3 linked regions of the Macaca fascicularis genome follow. The protein of the gene in region 2 interacts with the protein of the main gene of each other region in a biochemical or structural test. Links are inferred from orthologs where the notes say so. Each region holds a gene or a part of one and is shown on either strand. Other genes may lie near its edges.

What was found.
Region 1: of the proteins of PRMT1 (region 2) and FUS, one has a biochemical effect on the other in vitro, tested with the Homo sapiens proteins (3 studies listed by BioGRID). The link is inferred for Macaca fascicularis from reciprocal best matches to the Homo sapiens genes PRMT1 and FUS.
Region 3: of the proteins of PRMT1 (region 2) and FBL, one has a biochemical effect on the other in vitro, tested with the Homo sapiens proteins (2 studies listed by BioGRID). The link is inferred for Macaca fascicularis from reciprocal best matches to the Homo sapiens genes PRMT1 and FBL.

Annotation. Positions count from the first base shown.
Region 1 is NC_088394.1:29,370,638-29,376,664, reverse strand, and holds part of FUS (RNA-binding protein FUS), read right to left. Parts: intron 5,911-6,027; coding exon 5,886-5,910; intron 5,796-5,885; coding exon 5,626-5,795; intron 4,491-5,625; coding exon of another isoform or gene 4,488-4,490; coding exon 4,346-4,487; intron 4,142-4,345; coding exon 3,963-4,141; intron 3,771-3,962; coding exon 3,500-3,770; intron 1,882-3,499; coding exon 1,847-1,881; intron 358-1,846; coding exon 325-357; intron 1-324. UniProt on the Homo sapiens protein: DNA/RNA-binding protein that plays a role in various cellular processes such as transcription regulation, RNA splicing, RNA transport, DNA repair and damage response. Binds to ssRNA containing the consensus sequence 5'-AGGUAA-3'.
Region 2 is NC_088393.1:57,655,972-57,661,998, forward strand, and holds part of PRMT1 (protein arginine N-methyltransferase 1), read left to right. Parts: intron 1-118; coding exon 119-182; intron 183-1,480; coding exon 1,481-1,623; intron 1,624-2,298; coding exon 2,299-2,386; intron 2,387-2,466; coding exon 2,467-2,582; intron 2,583-4,124; coding exon 4,125-4,275; intron 4,276-4,632; coding exon 4,633-4,754; intron 4,755-6,027. UniProt on the Homo sapiens protein: Arginine methyltransferase that methylates (mono and asymmetric dimethylation) the guanidino nitrogens of arginyl residues present in proteins such as ESR1, histone H2, H3 and H4, FMR1, ILF3, HNRNPA1, HNRNPD, NFATC2IP, SUPT5H, TAF15, EWS, HABP4, SERBP1, RBM15, FOXO1, CHTOP, MAP3K5/ASK1, MICU1 and NPRL2.
Region 3 is NC_088393.1:46,966,413-46,972,539, forward strand, and holds the start of FBL (rRNA 2'-O-methyltransferase fibrillarin), read right to left. Parts: upstream 3,622-6,127; 5' UTR 3,540-3,621; coding exon 3,530-3,539; intron 1-3,529.

The sequences.
Region 1 (6,027 bases), on a different chromosome or scaffold from region 2:
ATCCACATTTTTAAAAAACCACTGCTGTAAAAACCATCTGAGTGTGGTGCAGACACATCGACATCACTAGGGACTTCTTAGAAAGGTAGGTTTTCAGGGTCATCTCAGACCTTCTAAATCGCTGGGGGTGGAACCCGCAAGCCAGGTATTTCTGAGAAATACTTAATAATGAATACTTCTCACTGCTAGCTAAGGATACACCTAACTCCCTTCCTTCTCTATCCCCTTTTTTTCAGTTTCCTTTTTATAATAGTTTCAAAGAATATCCAGGCAAAGTCTTGATACCACTTTAGCCACTCTTCATGCCACCACCTGTGAACTCACCGGAGTCATGACGTGATCCTTGGTCCCGAGGGCCTTAAGTGACATGGAAAAAAAGAACAAAAAAAAAAACAAAAACAAGGAAGAGGAGCTGTTAGTCAACAGGAAAAAATGGACAAGGAAAAAAATCAACACCAAATCCAAACTTGTAAAGTATCATGTAAGTGCTCACAGCCTCACTCCAAACCCTTTCCTGGGTCGCCTGCCCGGAGAAAATTCTAGGCAGGCCCCTTAAGATCTGTAACTTGAGTCTCCACAGAGACAACTCCACACTTCAGAAAATGCTGCCTCCCCCAGCTCAAGCTGGGAAATGTCCTCAGCACAGATGGCAGGGGAAAGGGAGACCCATTAAAGTGAACAAACCAACTCAGCTTGGCCCAGTTCTCTCACCCGAGAGAAGAGAGATGGGCTCGCCACCAGCCATGAGATGTGCATCCATCCAGTTTCTCCCAACTTTACCAAAGACACTTATCCCTTGTGGAACAATTTTTAATTTCATCTTTAGAAACCATCCTTAAAACCGTGTTATGTTTCCCCAAAACCACATGAAAATAAAAACCATACATAATAGCTATTGTATTTTTTAAGCATGTCCCAGGGAACAGACCAGAAATCTTACTTTCGTAATGCAGCCTCTATTTTGTTTTTCCAGAGACCATCTTTGACCAATGTTTATCTGAATTCGCCATATATAAATATTGTACCCACACGCAATGACACCTAAGTTATGAACCCAAGCCTTTGGCTTTAAATGTTGAGACAAATCAAGAAACCTTTTGTTAGTTAACCAAACCAGAAAAGTTCCAGCTTACTGGGAGACTTCTCAAATTTGTCATTTTTCCATGAATTCAGTTTGTGCTGTTTAAGACCTTCCTGGTCCATGAATTCAGTTTGTGCTGTTTAAGACCTGGTTATTTCCCATGAGCCACACATGCTTCCAATCTTTCTTGAAGTAGTGCACATGTTCCTTCCCAGAGCTAGTTTCTATTTGCCCATCTGAGTTAAGTCCATATACATAGAATTGCATTCATTGACACCATTCCGTACTTTATAAAGGTATACCAACTTCACCATTCTTAGGGCAATGTTACATCCCTCTTCCAGAATTAAAACATTTGGAGGTTGTCTCCCACTCTCACACACACACAAGCCTTGGACACAATGATCAAAAGGATCCTAAAGTCAAGATGGCACCACGTGTTCCAGCACGCACTCTCCAGTTTCTCATGATGATGGTCACTAAGTGCCAGGTGTGGCAACAGCCCTGTCCAAGGCCTACTAAACCCCTCTTATTAACCTGGGGCAAACCCATTTGGTAAAAGACGACTACTGAATCTTACCCCTGCCTGCTCCAGGTTAGCACACACCAGGCAACAGGTGGCATTCTACCCTACCCCTTTATGGAGGTGGTTCTGGACACTTCAAAACCTTTGACATTTAAATTAACACGCTAAGACATCTGCAAATGAACAATCAGACAAAGCATTGCTGGGAGTTGGGAATTTTGGAAACTCTGTTCACTTACCACCAAATTTATTGAAGCCACCACGGTCACTTCCGCTGGAGAAGACAAGTTAGAAGAAAGGACATGAAGCTTCCAACGGCTACAAAAGGGTGTTTTTTGATTTTGTTTAACATTTCCCAAACACGGGTAGGTGTTTTTGGAAAAAGATACAAGTGGCTACTAAAATACATCCCTTCCTGACCACCCCTTGTCTGACCTTTGAGCATGTCACACACACGTGTGCAATTTCTCAGACACAGTTTATAAAGATTTTGCTTTAAAAGGTTATGTATCTATTTCCTCTGGAAAAAAATGACCCATTTTCCTTGGTCGTTCTTCCGATGGAGCAGATGTTTTTTTTTCCTCTTGTCGCAAGTGGTTGACAACCAAGTAGTTGGTTTAAAAACCCTACCCCAATTTACCCAGAAGACATTTCACACCAGGCTGGGGTAGCCTTGAACACACTTTTGTGGTTTTTGCTTTGAAAGCAGCAAGCAGACCCAACCCCATTCCATAAAAAGTCAAAACCAAAGGCAACTTCCCCTTAAAGCAAGACAAACTTAGCTAAGCTCTGTCCTAACTACTGAGCTGTTTTTAATCTCCCCCAACCCCCGGGGTCACCCCTTCTACACTGCGAGAAGAGCGGAGTATTTTGCAATGTCACCTTTCATACCTGTGGCACATAAAATGCAGAGCAAGTTAACAGTCACATAACAGTTGTTTTTCTTTTTAAAGTTTTGCATTAAACACACGCACACAACAGAGTTTTCCTCATTTTTGTACGTTTTTGAGATTGCCCCCACCCACCTCTGCATACTTACCATATCCAAACTCAGTTTAAAAATCTACTTTTTCCAAAAACAGTTACACTGACATTCCTGCCCTTTTTCAAGGGAGACAGAGTGGGGTCCTTCAAATCGTATTTACCGACAGATTTGACAACTGTTTTAACATCAAATCTAAGGTTTTACTTCAAATCAACTTCAGCAGGAAGGAAAGAAGGTCCAGTTGGACAAGCTGATGAATTTTAAGTAACCAGGGTAAGGCAGACAGTGGAACAACTAGGTGGGAGACCACTGTCAAGCATATTTTTGCCCAAAAGGTCTGCACACTTCAGTCAGTTGGTCCCATAAACCAAGTCACACCCAAAATCAATGTCGGTCAAATTGGTGCAAATCAAGCTCGTGGATTCAAATGACTACAGAAAACGGGAAGAGTAACCAATTCCTGGAAGCTGAAGTCAGGTTAACCATTACCAACTCCCTAGAGGACACACGGGAACACACATACCAAGTTTCCCTACTATTTCCCAGGAGTGGGTTCATCGGTTTCCCTTGCAGAGAAAGAAGTCTTCACTTCCATGTTTCTTGCCTAGGATATCAATGACTCCAATCCATACGTATTGGAAATCTATGTATGATTTCTTTTTTTTGGAAACAAGTATCAATACTCAAAATCTCTATTCGGTGGTATGGATGGGAGTTCAGGCTCCCAAATTCTCACAAAAATAAAATGGGGATGTAAAAAGAAAATCACTGCCCCCAAATCAAAGCCCTCACAAATCCCCCAGACAACAAGAATACTAAACCATGCATTAGGGACTGGCTTCAGGGAGATTCATGCAATCCTCCACACTCCCCACCAAAGATACTCCCTGGCTCATGAGACACCTACCCCATGCCACCTCTGCCTCCACGGCCACCTCCACGACCTCTGGGTTCATAGCCACCACTGCTGCGGTTGTAACCACCACCACCGCCGCCGCCACCACTGCTGCCGCCCCTGCCACGGCCTCCACGGTCCTGCTGTCCGTAGCCACCGCCGCCTCCACCACTCTGGTCTTGATTGCCATAACCACCACCACCACCACCACTGCCGCCGCCGCCACCGCCGCCGCCGCCACCACTACCACCACTCATGGAGGATTGATCTTGGCCATAGCTACCTGTGAGAAAAAAAAGGATGGTTTAAAAAAAAAATTGTAAAGTAGCACAAAAAGGTATGACAAGTGCCAGGCAATGAAGTACAAAAGAAATTAAAAAGACAGCTAGGAAATAAAACAGGAACCCTTTTAGGCTAAAACAGAATACAAATCCTTATAGAAAATGGGCTGCAGACAAAGCTGAGGACATCTCACCTCCACCTCCACTACCACTGCTGCTGCTGTTGTACTGGTTCTGCTGTCCATAGCCCTGAGGGGGATTATAGCTTTGCTGCTGTCCATAGCTTTGCTGCTGTCCACCATAGCTAGGCTGCTGGCCGTAGCCCCCACTCGGGGGCTGCCCATAGCTGCTGGTCTGAGAACTGCTACCGTAACTAAGGAAAACAAACAAAAAACACAATCACAATCCCAGCATAGCCCCCCAATTTCCTTTTAGTGGATTCCATTCTCTGTACTCAACACAGGCTCCCCTACCCCAATTATACCTCTAAACTGCTCCTACTGCTGCTGGTCCCTTTATCATTCCTCATCAATTCACCCCTCTTTTCAAGCCTTCCCCGACATCGACACCACCGTACCTTCCCGAGGTGCTGCTGGGAGTTGGCTGCTGGCCATAGCCAGGGTAGGAGGACTGCTGCCCATAAGAAGATTGGGAGCTCTGGCTACTGCCATAGCCGCCAGTCGAGCCATATCCCTGGGGAGCTGACTGAGTTCCATAGCCTGCTACAAGAAAAAAGAAGTCACAAAAGCCACCAGGAAAAAGAAAATGTAAGAAATGTGTTAAAACATATACAACCTAATACCTATACTCAAAAAGTCAGCCTTTCAGAAGCTGTTCATAATCTTGCAACTCATAGTTACCCTCCTTTCAAAGCCCAAAGTTAATGCTCCAACTTCTATCCTCTCTAAGACAGTTCCAATTTAACCCCGCCAACCCCAACACCCTCTAATCCCAAGCCCAAGGATTCCTGTTAACAGCACTGTGATATGCAGCTGTGCATGCAGTTACGTACAGGACAACCACCTTTCTTAGTTACACTTCAGGACCTTGGGGCAATCCCACCTCCTTATGTATCACATGATTTCATACATTTGTTTCAAGCATAACCATTTTCTCCATTTAAGAATTGGCCTAAAACTGGTTCTCCCGTTAGAAAATATGCTCTTTCATGCTGAGATGGGAAATGAGAGTCATAAAAATTAAAAGCCAAAGAAAACAAATGTAAACAGAATCACAAACCAAAAAACATTTTTGTTTTTTGAGATGGGGCCGCAATACACTGCCCAGGCTGGAATGCAGTCGCTGTTCAGTCACTATCATAGCTCACTGCAGCCCCAAACTCCTGAACTCAAGGAATCCTCCTGCCTCAGACTCCTCAGTAGCTGGGACTACAGGTGTGCCACAATGCCCTGTAAAGGACTCAGATCCCAAAGAGTTTTAAGAATTATACACTCATTTAGGGAAAAGAAATATGGAAGAGTTTCAACACTTCAGTCCTGCTCAGGTTTAAGAAAAGGGACATTCAGGGCGTGATGGCTCACAACTGTAATCCCAGCACTTTGGGAGACTGACGCAGGTGGATCACAAGGTCAGGAGTTCTAGACCAGCCTATCGAACATGGTGAAACCCCATCTCTACTAAAAATACAAAAATCAGTAGGGCGTGGTAGCAGGTGCCTGTAATCGCAGCTACTCAGGAGGCTGAGGCAGGGGAATTGTTTGAACCCGGGAGGCGGATGTTGCAGTGAGCTGAGATAGCACCATTGCACTCCAGCCTGGGCAACAGGATGAGACTCCGTCTCCCAAAGAAAAAGAAAAAAAAGAAAAGCAATATTCAGAAAGAGCAGGAAGAGGTGACCTGCTGAGAAAGACTCACTGCTCTGGCTCTGGCCGTAAGAAGAATAGCTGCTCTGGCCATAGCCTGAAGTGTCCGTGGACTGGCTGTAACCGCTGTAACTCTGCTGTCCGTAGGGCTGACTGCTCTGCTGGGAATAGCCCTGCCCAGGCTGGGTGGGGTAGGCCCCATAGCTAGATGAAAGGAAAACCAGCGTGATCAGAAAACACAGCTTGACCACCCTTCCCCTCTACAAACTCTGGAAGCCCAAAAACAGCACTCACCTTTGGGTTGCTTGTTGGGTATAATCTGCAAAAAAAAAAAAATACAATCACATTATCTTCAGCCGCCACTCTGAAACAGTTGAATTAAAGCTAAATTCCTTAACTCAAGCACTGATGAATAAATAGGACCACACAGGCCAGG
Region 2 (6,027 bases):
GGGCTTCCAGGCAGGGCCAGGCCTGGGGAATGGAGGGGGGCCATCAGGGCTCAGGGATGGGACGGAGGGGATGGGGACAGGGGATAGGTCTCACTCTCCCTTCTCCCTGGGCCCTCAGATCGAGTGTTCCAGTATCTCTGATTATGCGGTGAAGATCGTCAAAGCCAACAAGTTAGACCACGGTGAGCCCAGAAAGAGGATGGGTTTGTGGGAGTGGAGGGGGTGATGCTCCGCTTCCCCAGGGCCCTCTGAAGAGCAGTGGGGTCTACGGATGGCCACAGATTCAGCGGCTCCCCACCCATGGTCTTCTGGGCTGCCGGCCACCTGAGAATCTGAGTGTCAAAATCACAAGCTTAGCACCTCCGTCTTAAAATTAGGGCAAGAAGCACTCTCTAGTTTCTTGAATGAGTAATAGAGTCACGTGGTTGGCCACTGTTCTCACAGTGAGAAGCCTGCCCTGTTTCCCAGCTGCCCTCCTCCGAGTTTAACCAACACTAACTTCTAGAGACGTCTGGACCTACAAACACATATATATGTAAATGTGTTTACATTCACGCGCATAATTTTCACGCCGGTAGCATTTCATACCAGCCTCTTGCCCTTGGCTTCTTAAACACCTGCTTGTCATGTTGTTTAACATATTCCAGGCCGGGCGCGGTGGCTCAAGCCTGTAATCCCAGCACTTTGGGAGGCCGAGGCGGGCGGATCACAAGGTCAGGAGATCAAGACCATCCTGGCTAACCTGGTGAAACCCCGTCTCTACTAAAAAATACAAAAAAATTTGCCGGGTGTGATGGTGGGCGCCTGTAGTCCCAGCTACTCGGGAGGCTGAGGCAGGAGAATGGCGTAAACCCGGGAGGCGGAGCTTGCAGTGAGCGGAGATCCGGCCACTGCACTCCAGCCTGGGCGACAGAGCGAGACTCCGTCTCAAAAAAAAAAAAAAAAAAAAAAATCGTGACTGGGCGCGGTGGCTCACGCCTGTAATCCTAGCACTTTGGGAGGCCAAGATGGGCGGATCACGAGGTCAGGAGATCGAGACCACCCTGGCTAACATGGTGAAACGCCGTCTCTACTAAAAATACAAAAAAATGAGCCGGGCGTGGTGGCGGGCCCCTGTAGTCTCAGCTACTGGGGAGGCTGAGGCAGGAGAATGGTGTGAACCTGGGAGGCGGAGCTTGCAGTGAGCCGAGATCGCGCCACTGCACTCCAGCCTGGGCAACAGAGTGAGACTCCGTCTCAAAAAAAAGTAAAAATAAAAAAATCATTACATTGCCTGATACCCAGTTCACATAAAATTTCTGCTCCTGCCTCAAAAATGTCCAGAGCCATTTATGAATTTTAAAACAGTTAAGAGGGTTCATGGCTTCTGCTCACCGAGTTCTCTGAACTGAGTGGGGTCCCCAGGCTGTGGCCCCCGGGGGAGGGGAGGTGAGGGGCAAGCCTCCTGGGGGCTGACGTGGCCACCCTTGTCTGCCCGCAGTGGTGACCATCATCAAGGGGAAGGTGGAGGAGGTAGAGCTCCCGGTGGAGAAGGTGGACATCATCATCAGCGAGTGGATGGGCTACTGCCTCTTCTACGAGTCCATGCTCAACACCGTGCTCTACGCCCGGGACAAGTGGCTGGTGAGGCCCCAGCAGACGGGTGCAGCTCGCATGGGCTGGGGGCCAAAAGCACTCAATTTTTCCCACAGACGGGACTTACTATGGGGGTGTGGCTGCAAGGTGTTAGAAGGCCACAGCCCGAGCCAGGTGTGACAGACCCTGGTGGGAGATGGTGCGATGTGGGGGGGTTTGTAGGAACAGGAAAACTATAGCAGGGCACTAGACCAGGTTCTCCGGCCCCAGCAGGCCGCCCCGGGAGAGGTGAGGTGACCGAGAGCTGGATGAAGATGTGGAGGGGTGGCCAGGGCAGGTGTTCCCTTGCTGCATGTGGAGCAGCAGGGAGGCCCGTGTGGAAGGAGGGTCTAGAAGGGCAGCAGGAGGAGCAGTGGAGGTAAGGGGTGACAGGGCATGTGCAGATTTTGTGGGGCCTTATGGGACCCCGCGCGACTTTGCTTTTCCTCTCAGAGCAGCCAGGGAGGGTCTGAGGATCCCCAGAACCTCGAGGGACAGGAGCTGACTGAGGTGCCCCTGGGTGCCCTCTGGCGGCCGTGTGGGAAATAGACCAGGGGGTGAGGGGTGAGTGCCGCTGCGACATGAGGGTGGCTCAGACCAGGGCAGAAGGTCACATCTCGGGGGCAAGAGTCAGGGCAGCGTTGCCAGGCCCCACCCTTCATGCCTCGCCCTGCCCCTCTGCAGGCGCCCGATGGCCTCATCTTCCCAGACCGGGCCACGCTGTATGTGACGGCCATCGAGGACCGGCAGTACAAAGACTACAAGATCCACTGTGAGCGTGGCCCAGGAGCGGGCGGGCGGGGCCCCGGGTGGGCTGCCGCGGGCTCACCCCCTCCCTGCCTGCCTCCCCAGGGTGGGAGAACGTGTATGGCTTCGACATGTCTTGCATCAAAGATGTGGCCATCAAGGAGCCCCTAGTGGATGTGGTGGACCCCAAACAGCTGGTCACCAATGCCTGCCTCATAAAGGTGAGGGGGGGGGGTGGGCATGGCCAGGTGCCCCCTGGGTTGAAACCAAAGAGAGGCCATCACCTGGCCCTGGCATGGGACTTTGGGGCCCAGAGTGTTGGCCTGAGGTCTCAGAGCCTGACCTGCCAGCCAGAGGTGGTGCTAGGGGCCCAGGAAAGACGTTTCATCCTTTAAACATCTTTGTGAGCGCTGCCGTGTGAGAACCACGTTTGGCACTTGGTGTCCGGCAGAGGACACACCCGCAGCTGGTAGCTAAAGCCCACAGCCCGTACACGGGAAGGCAGGACCTGGGGCGATGAGCGGGTGCACACGCTGCAGAAGAGCAGGGGGCCAGGCTGGGATCCGAGATGTGCCTGTGGTTGCAGCTACTCAGGAGGCTGAGGCGGGAGGATCTCTTGGGCCTGGGAGTTCAAGGCTGCAGTGAGCTGTGATCACATCCCTGCACTCCAGCCTTGGTGACAGTGTTTTGTTTTGTTTTTAACTTTTTTTAACTTCTGAGACCCTGTTTATTTATTTATTTATTTTTTCTTTTTTTTTTGAGACGGAGTCTTGCTCTGTCGCCCAGGCTGGAGCGCAGTGGCCGGATCTCAGCTCACTGCAAGCTCCGCCTCCCGGGTTTATGCCATTCTCCTACCTCAGCCTCCCGAGTAGCTGGGACTACAGACTCCCGCCAACCCGCCTGGCTAGTTTTTTTTTTTTTTTTTTTTTGCATTTTTTAGTAGAGACGGGGTTTCACTGTGTTAGCCAGGATGGTCTCGATCTCCTGACCTTGTGATCCGCCCGTCTCGGCCTCCCAAAGTGCTGGGATTACAGGCTTGAGCCACCGCGCCCGGCCGACCCTGTTTAAAAAAAAAAAAATAAGGCAACGAGTATTTGTTGAGCTGGGATGTGTGAGCCGGGTGAAGCTGGGTGGTTGGCCGGGGGTTCCTGTGGGGAGGAGGAAGCTGTTGAGTGGGAATGGAGAGGAGACTGGAGGGGCAGGGACCCCACCCAGGCCACCCTCCTGAGAACCAGCGGAACTGGTGCAGGGTTTTCGGTTGGATTGCCGTTTGAAGCCATCATGCTGGTGGACTTGTGAAGGGTTGGGGAGAGTGGGGAGCGCGGAGAGGGGGGAGCGCGGAGAGGGGGGAGCGCGGAGAGGGTGGAGTGCGGAGAGGGGGAGCGCGGCCCGGAGAGCGCGGAGAGCGGGGAGCGCGGAGAGGGGGGAGCGCGGAGAGGGGGGAGCAGGGTGCCTGCATTCCCAGGAGGTCTGGCCAGGTGGGGTCGGGGCGGGGTGGGCTCTGGACAGAGTTAGGGTGGCGGCGCCAGGTTTGGGTGCGGGAGAGAAGGGAGCAAAGAATCTGGGCTCAAACCGAGGCGGTTTATTGGGAGCCGGACAGTCAGGATGAGGAGTGAATGAGGAGCTGAGGCTGGGTGCCAGTAAGGGAGGGCCAGCGGGAAGGGGACAGTGAGGTCACAGGCCCTCTGGGAGCTTGAGGGAGGGAGGAGGGGATGAAGCGAGGTGGGGACACATCCCGGAGCTCACCCTCTCCTGTCCTGCAGGAGGTGGACATCTACACCGTCAAGGTGGAAGACCTGACGTTCACCTCCCCGTTCTGCCTGCAAGTGAAGCGGAATGACTACGTGCACGCCCTGGTGGCCTACTTCAACATCGAGTTCACGCGCTGCCACAAGAGGACGGGCTTCTCCACCAGTGAGGCGGGGCCCGCAGGGCTGGGGGCTGCTCCTGAGCCAGGGCCGAGGGGCACCCACATAGTGGAGGGGGTGACAGAAACGGGCAGAGGGAGCCATGGGGACATGTGTGTTCCAGCGTGAGCTCTGCCATGTAGCAGTCACGTGGCCTTGAGCAAGTGATCTGAGTGTGCAGTGCCTCAGTTTCCTCATCCACAAAAGCCTGACACGGTCCCTGTCTCCAAAGCTGAATGACAGGGAGGTGACTCACGGACAGCAGTCCCGTCAGCTGTCAGGGGGGTGGACATTCCAACAGAGGGAACACAAGACTGGGGCCAGGGCAGCAGGCCAAGGCCAGCTGACCCGCCTGCGCCCCCAGGCCCTGAGTCCCCGTACACGCACTGGAAGCAGACAGTGTTCTACATGGAGGACTACCTGACCGTGAAGACGGGCGAGGAGATCTTCGGCACCATCGGCATGCGGCCCAATGCCAAGAACAACGTGAGGCTCTGGGCAGCTGGGCAGGAGGGTGGCAGCCGGGGTGGGGAGCATGGATAGGGGCAGTGGTAGGGGGGAATGGTGGCAGCGTAGGGGATGGGGGTAGCTGGGGCGGATGGGGGCAGCTGGCAGGGGCGAGTGCCTCTGCCTGTTCCCGGGTCCCTGAGCCCCTCAGCCCCACGCCTGTCTACACAGCAGATTTCTTAGCATTTACTGGAAGATGGGCCTGGGGACCCAGGCCAAAGCCCTGTCCTCCTGGTGCTTCCAGTCTACACAAGGGGATCAGTGACATGGTGATGCCAGTGGGAGGTGACCTCTGTCAGGCTGGGAGCAGGGCAGACAGGTGTTGGCGTGGGTGAGCTCCAGGGCAAGAGGCGGCCCCGGTAGAGCGCACAGGGTTTGCTAGCCCAGGTGGGAGGCATGAGAGGAGGAGAAAGGCAGCTTTTTGTTTTCCACTCCCCCCTTTTTCCTCCTGAGCACCTGGTAGGAGCTGCCATCACCTGAGATCAGGGGGTTTCCAGGGGAGCTGGGGGGTCTTCTGGGAGAGAGGGTCTGGGCAGAGAGGTCCAGTGTGGCGGGTTTGAGCAGGCAGGAGGATGGAAGGCCGGGAGCCTGGAGTCACCGGGAGTGGTGTGGGCTGGAAGAGTGAGTCCCGGCCCATGGGTGCGAGGGTGGGTGGCACTCAGGGCAGTCATGGAATGTGGGCCCCGGGACGCCCTCGAGCCCGTGACAGCAGCAGTTGTCAGCTGGGCAGTTTCAGTGCCCCCCACCCCCGACAGAGGACGTTCGTCACCATCTGTGGAAACATTTGTGGTTGTCACTCTGGAGAAGGGGTGCTCCTGGCATCTGGTATGTAGGGGCCAGGGGCTGGTAAACGTCCTACAACCACAGGACCACCCCCTGCAAAGACTCCTGTAGCCCCTGGGGCCATGGCGCTAGCTGGGAAACAGATACTGGAGAGGGAGGAGGAGTCCTCGGGGCTGTTGGCAACTTGATCCCCTCTTCCTGTGCTGGAGGGTATGGGGGGCCTTCAGGAAGCCTGGGAGGAGAAGTGGAGACAGAGGCTGGACCACTGCGTTTCACTGGAACGTTTGCCTGAGCAGAAGTGGGCTTGGGAGAGGTTTTCTGATTTATGAAAGAAGCAATCACTGCATTGCTGATGGGGAACGTCTTGATGGAGAAATCCAAGGGCAAGGGATAGCAGCCAGGCTCTGCTCCTGAGTGAACCTAGTGGGCTTGAGGGTGTCCACGTGGCGCTGTCCCTTGACAGGGTCAG
Region 3 (6,127 bases), about 11 Mb from region 2:
CCTTTATTTGTTTAGAAAGCACATGATCCATCAGCTGGTGACCAGGGAAGCGCTGGTCACTCCCCTCAAGTATCCCTTATGGACAGACTGGCAATGTCGTTGCCACTCTCCACCCTAGTGAGTAAGGAAGGTTCATGGGGGTCTTGAAAACTTCATCTGCAAGACATGGAGCAATATAGTGCCAGGCCAGGTGCCGTGGCTCATGCCTGTAATCGCAGCACTTTGGGAGACCCAGGCAGGTGGATAGTTTGAAGCCAGAAGTTGAAGACCAGCCTGGCCAACACAGTGAAACCCTGTCTCTACAAAAAAATTAGCTAGGCATGGTGGCACGTGCCCGTAATCCCAGCTACTTGGAAGGCTGAGGCACAAGAATCAATTGAACACAGGAGGTGGAGGTTGCAGTGAGTTGAGATGGTGCCACTGCACTCCAGCCTGGGTGACAGACATTCAGTATCAAAAAAAAATAAAAATAAAAAAATGCAGTGCCCATCCTATAGTGCTGTAAAGATTTAATGCCTTGTACACACAGAGCACTTCACATATACACTATCTGGCACCTACTTTGAACATCATCATTCAAACTCAGGGGAACGGGTCTCCTCTTCCCTCCTTATGCACCTTAATGGTATTAACGATGAAAATGTAATTTTTAATAGCTACTCCTAATTTGATCTTTTAAAATGAACAGTTTCCTTTTCAAAACTCCAGAACATAACCAAGAGTTGTTCACTTTTTATCTTCTATCCCCCTTCAGTCCACTTTCCACACAGCAACTAATAAGTGCTGTTTCTGTTTTGTTTTGTTTTATTATACTTTAAGTTCTAGGGTACATGTGCACAACGTGCAGGTTTGTTACATATGTATACATGTGCCATGTTGGTGTGCTGCATCCATTAACTCGTCATTTACATCAGGTATATCTCCTAATGCTATCCCTCCCTGCTACCCCCACCCCACAACAGCACCCGGTATGTGATGTTCCCCTTCCTGTGTCCAAGTGTTCTCATTGTTCAATTCCCACCTATGAGTGAGAACATGCGGTGTTTGGTTTTTTGTTCTTGCAATAGTTTGCTGAGAATGATGGTTTCCAGCTGCATCCATGTGCCTAACAGCACTCAGATCTCATTATTTTCTTGCCCAAACCCTCCAACAGTTTTCCAAAGCCAGGACCTTCATTTAGGGGAGATGCCACAGCTAGGTTTATGAAAGTCTCAACCCAGGCCTAATAAAAAGGAAGTACTGGCATGTGCACGGGGCGGAGTGGGCAGGAGTGTAAACTTTCTTTTTTTTTTTTTTTTGAGACGGAGTCTCGCTCTGTTGCCCAGGCTGGAGTGCAGTGGCCAGATCTCAGCTCACTGCAAGCTCCGCCTCCTGGGTTCACGCCATTCTCCTGCCTCAGCCTCCCGAGTAGCTGGGACTACAGGCGCCCGCCACCTCGCCCGGCTAGTTTTTTGTATTTTTTAGTAGAGACAGGGTTTCACCGTGTCAGCCAGGATGGTCTCGATCTCCTGACCTCGTGATCCGCCCGTCTCGGCCTCCCAAAGTGCTGGGATTACAGGCTTGAGCCACCGCGCCCGGCCAACTTTCAATCCCAGATACTCAAAACATCTCATTTCAGGTCCTGGAGCTTTTTGGGGGAAAATGTACCAAAAGTACCCACTCCTCAGAAAAAACACATGTTCACACAAACTTTTCCAGTAAGTTCTTTTTTGGGGGGAAGGGGGGTTCCACAAACTCCCTGATTTAAAATCTGCTTTCCTTCCACAGCCTTCTCCATCTCAAAAATGGCAATTCCATCCTTCCAGCTACACACCCCCAAACCCTTGGTTATCCTTGACTCTGCTCACACACCCACATACAATCTGTTGGTTCTGTCTTCAAAAGCATGTAAAACCGTCAGCATGTCCACTGCTTCCATCCTGGTCCACCACACCACCTCCTAGATTACAGCAACAAGCTTCCCACCGATTTGCCTGCTTCCACATTTGCCACCCTGAGGTCTTTCACACATGGAAGCAAGAAGAATCCCTTTTAAAAATGTCAGACTGCACCACGCCCCTGCTCAAAAGCTCCCAAAGGGTTCTCTCACTCAGACTAAAATCCTTACTAAAGAGCTAACACCTGACAACTTTTACAACTTCACATTCTACCACACAACGGAAGAAGGTTGGAAGAAGGGGTATCCTCCATTTCTGAGGTAATCATAGACCAGGATGCCTGCAGGCAAGTCAGGATCTCAATAGGAGAGATACCTGGCCTACAATCCCTCAGCCCACTTCATCAGGAGATCCCCCAAACACGGAAGAGAAAGGGAGCTTGGGAGAAGGGCACGGATCCACAAATCTCCTGCCAGGTGACCCCAATCTCTCCACACAAACACACACAAAAAAGAAAAATAAAGCCTGTTCCAGGAAAACAGACCCTTTGGGCCATGGTGGAAAATTCTCCAAACTCAATGAAGCAAGTTCTCACACAGACGAGTGGGGGTTGGGCAGGCCAGATGGAGGAAGTGCTCAGACACCACGGAGAAGGATTCTAATTTTGTTCTCTTTGAGAAAGATAAAGGCAACAGCTAGAGCCAATACTATTATGTCAAGCACTGTGCTATTTTTTTTTAAACGTCGCTTAATCCTAACTGGCGCCTTTTTATTGATGAGAAAACAGAGGCTCAGAGAGGTAAAGCCACTTGCCCAAGGTCACACAGCAGGCTAAGAAGCTGAGCCAGAACTGAAATACTAAACTGAGGCCCTTCTGCTGTCAAAGCCAGGACCCTCATCATTCCACCATGAAGGCAGTGGGTTCAGCAGAATCTAATGGAAAATCGAAAGAATAAAACCACTTACGTCCTGTGACAACCACCCACCCCCCTACCCCAATCTAATGCCGAGCTTGTTAAGTCTCGCCCCGGAGGTGGAAATCTTAGTCCCCAAATCTCCACTCCATCCCTGGGGATCCGCCCCCCTGTAAGTGCAGAAGGCGGGAAAGTGAGCCAGAGTGCCGCACACGGCCAACCGAGGAGTCCTCCGCTCCGGCCCACTCGGAAAAGCTGGGTTGGGGGATAAGGGGATGGTGGTGGTGGCAGCGACAGGGAAGGCAAATAGGGGCTTCCCACACACATCTCCAGGACCCAAGGTCAGGAACTCTCCATCTCCGACCCAAGGCTGATTCCCAAAACACGCCCAGCTATCCAAGACTCCAGATGCCGGGATCCAGACTCTAGTCCAAGACTCCTGAGTGCCGCCTCCTGCCCAATATCCAAAATCCCTATTAGACGGCCTCAATGAGACGAACCCCAGGTCAAGACCCCCAGTGCCAGGCCCAAGGCCTTCTTCGACTCACGACCGTGACCTCCGAAGCCAGTCACTAACCCCTAGACCTCCTGGAATCAGGATTCCCCTTCCCACATGAGACCGGATCCGTGCTCAGAACCCCTGCCCCCAGGCCAAGGCCCCACCCCTCCGATTCTGGCCTGGCACCCGGATTCCCGCCCGGCCTCCGTCCCTGATCCTGGACCCCACCCCAGCCTGACCTGGCTTCATGGTGAGCCCGGGTTTGTGCGGCTCCGGAGCCCGCGGCGTTCACAACTCCACGAGTCCGGCGCTTTCGCACGTGGAAAAGAGCGCAGGCGCGCGGCGACGTGCAGCGCGTGACGCAACCACGTAGCCCCGCCCCGGCCCCCTGCCCCGCTTGGAGCTCGGCGCACGCACAGTGGGCGAGGATTCTCGAGCCTATCGAAACTAAGCCGGTTACCCTCACTCTCTGCCTTCCCAGCCTTTGCTTGTGCAGCGGTCTCCCTAAACTCGCTTCCGGTTTCCTCTTCCGCAGTGCGAGCACCCCAATAATCAGGGCTCATAGCGAGGCCTTCGCACGGGCTGTGCCCTCTGCCCCCTCTTTTGTATTTCTAACTCCCTGAGGTCCCTGTACACCCAAAACGGCTTCCCTGACACATTTCCAGCGCCAAGAACAGTGACCGACTCTGTGCTTCCATTCATACATCCGAAAAACATTTACCGTGCCTCTCATGTATACCAGGCGCTGTTCTAGGAGCTGGGAATACAGCGGTGTACGAGACATAAGAATCTCCACTCTCGGCCGGGCGCGGTGGCTCAAGCCTGTAATCCCAGCACTTTGGGAGGCCGAGACGGGCGGATCACGAGGTCAGGAGATCGAGACCATCCTGGCTAACACAGTGAAACCCCGTCTCTACTAAAAAATACAAAAAACTAGCCAGGTGAGGTGACGGGCGCCTGTAGTCCCAGATACTCGGGAGGCTGAGGCAGGAGAATGGCGTGAACCCAGGAGGCGGAGCTTGCACTGAGCTGAGATCCGGCCACTGCGCTCCAGCCTGGGCAAGAGAGCCAGACTCCGCCTCAAAAAAAAAAAAAAAAAAAAAAAGAATCTCCACTCTCCTGGAGTTAATCTTTTTAATGGAGGAAATGGACACCAAACATGTTGAATGTTAGAAGGCAGTAAGTGCTTTGGAGAAAATCATGGCAGGGAAAGGGGATAGAGATTTTGGAGGGCAAGTGATTTTTGTTTTTTTGGCATGGTGGTCAGGGAATGCATCAGGTGACTTTTGAGCTAAAGAGCTGAAGGAAGTGAGGAGTGAGGCATGCACCTATCTAGGGGAAGGGAGTTCCAGGCAGGGAAGAGATCTGCAGATGCAGAGGCCCTGAGGAAGGAAAGATACGGGAAGTTGGAGAGAAAATGAGGAGGGTGATTGGGGCAAAGTGAGCAAGATGGAGAGTGAGAGGAGATAAGGGCGGGTAGCTAACAAGGGCAGATTGTGAGGAGCTTTGTGGGACATAGTGAGGACTTTGGCAGTAAGATGGAACCATGGAAGGGTTCCAAGCAGAGAAGGAATGTGATCTGACACAGGTCCCTCTGGCTGCGTGTGGGAAGCAGACTGCAGGCGTGAGGGTGGAAGCAGGAAAACCAAGGACTGGCTGCTGCCATGAATCAGAAGGAGACAAGGATGGACAAGATCAGAGTGGGGGCAGAGAGCGGCGTCAGGGGTCAACAGATTCTGCTTAAGTATTAAGAATTTTGTGGGCCGGACGCGGTAGCTCAAGCCTGTAATCCCAGCACTTTAGGAGGCCGAGGCGGGCGGATTACGAGGTCAGGAGATGGAGACCATCCTGGCTAACACAGTGAAACCCCGTCTCTACTAAAGAATACAAAAAATTAGCCGGGCGTAATGGCGAGCGCCTATAGTCCCAGCTACTAAGGAGGCTGAGGCAGAAGAATGGCGTGAACCCAGGAGGCGGAGGTTGCAGTAAGCCGAGATTGCGCCACTGCACTCCAGCCTGGGCGACAGAGCAAGACTCCGTCTCAAAAAAAAAAAAGAAAAAAACAAGAATTTTGTGCTTTGTAATTGTATAATATCAATATCCATCCCTATATTCATTCTGCAAAGCAAGACAACTGCTGTGATAAGAAGTTACTGAAAACTTCCAAAACAACCTACCCGTCCAGAGCCTAGATGTTAACTGTTCCATTCAGTGCCCTATCACTCTAGGCCTAGGACAGACCTGTGGGTGCCCAGTAAATGTCTGTTGAATGAATGGATGGCCTCATACTGCTGTGAGTTCTCTGTGTACAGTGTTCCAGTTGTGGAATGCCACCAATTTGCACAGAAACATTCCTGAAAAATTGTTTAGATATTATGATGGAAAATCTGCTTAAACTTTTCAGAACCGGTCGGGGCAGTGGCTCACGCCTGTAATCCAGGCACTTTGGGAGGCCGAGGCAGGAGGATCACTTGAGCCCAGAAGCTTAAGCCCAGCCTGGGCTACAGAGTGAGACCTCATCTTTACAAAAAAAAAAAATTAGCTGGGCATTGCCCGGGCGCAGTGGCTCATGCCTGTAATCCCAGCACTTTGGGAGGCTGAGGCAGGTGGATCACGAGGTCAGGAGATTGAGACCATCCTATCTAACATGGTGAAACCCTGTCTCTACTAAAAATACAAAAAAATTAGCCAGCGTGGTGGCGGGCACGTGTAGTCCCAGCTACTCGTGAGGCTGAGGCAGGAGAATGGCGTGAACCTGGGAGGCAGAGGTGGCAGTGAGCTGAGATCACGCCACTGCAGTCTAGCCTGGGTGACAGAGCGAGACTCCGTCTCAAAAA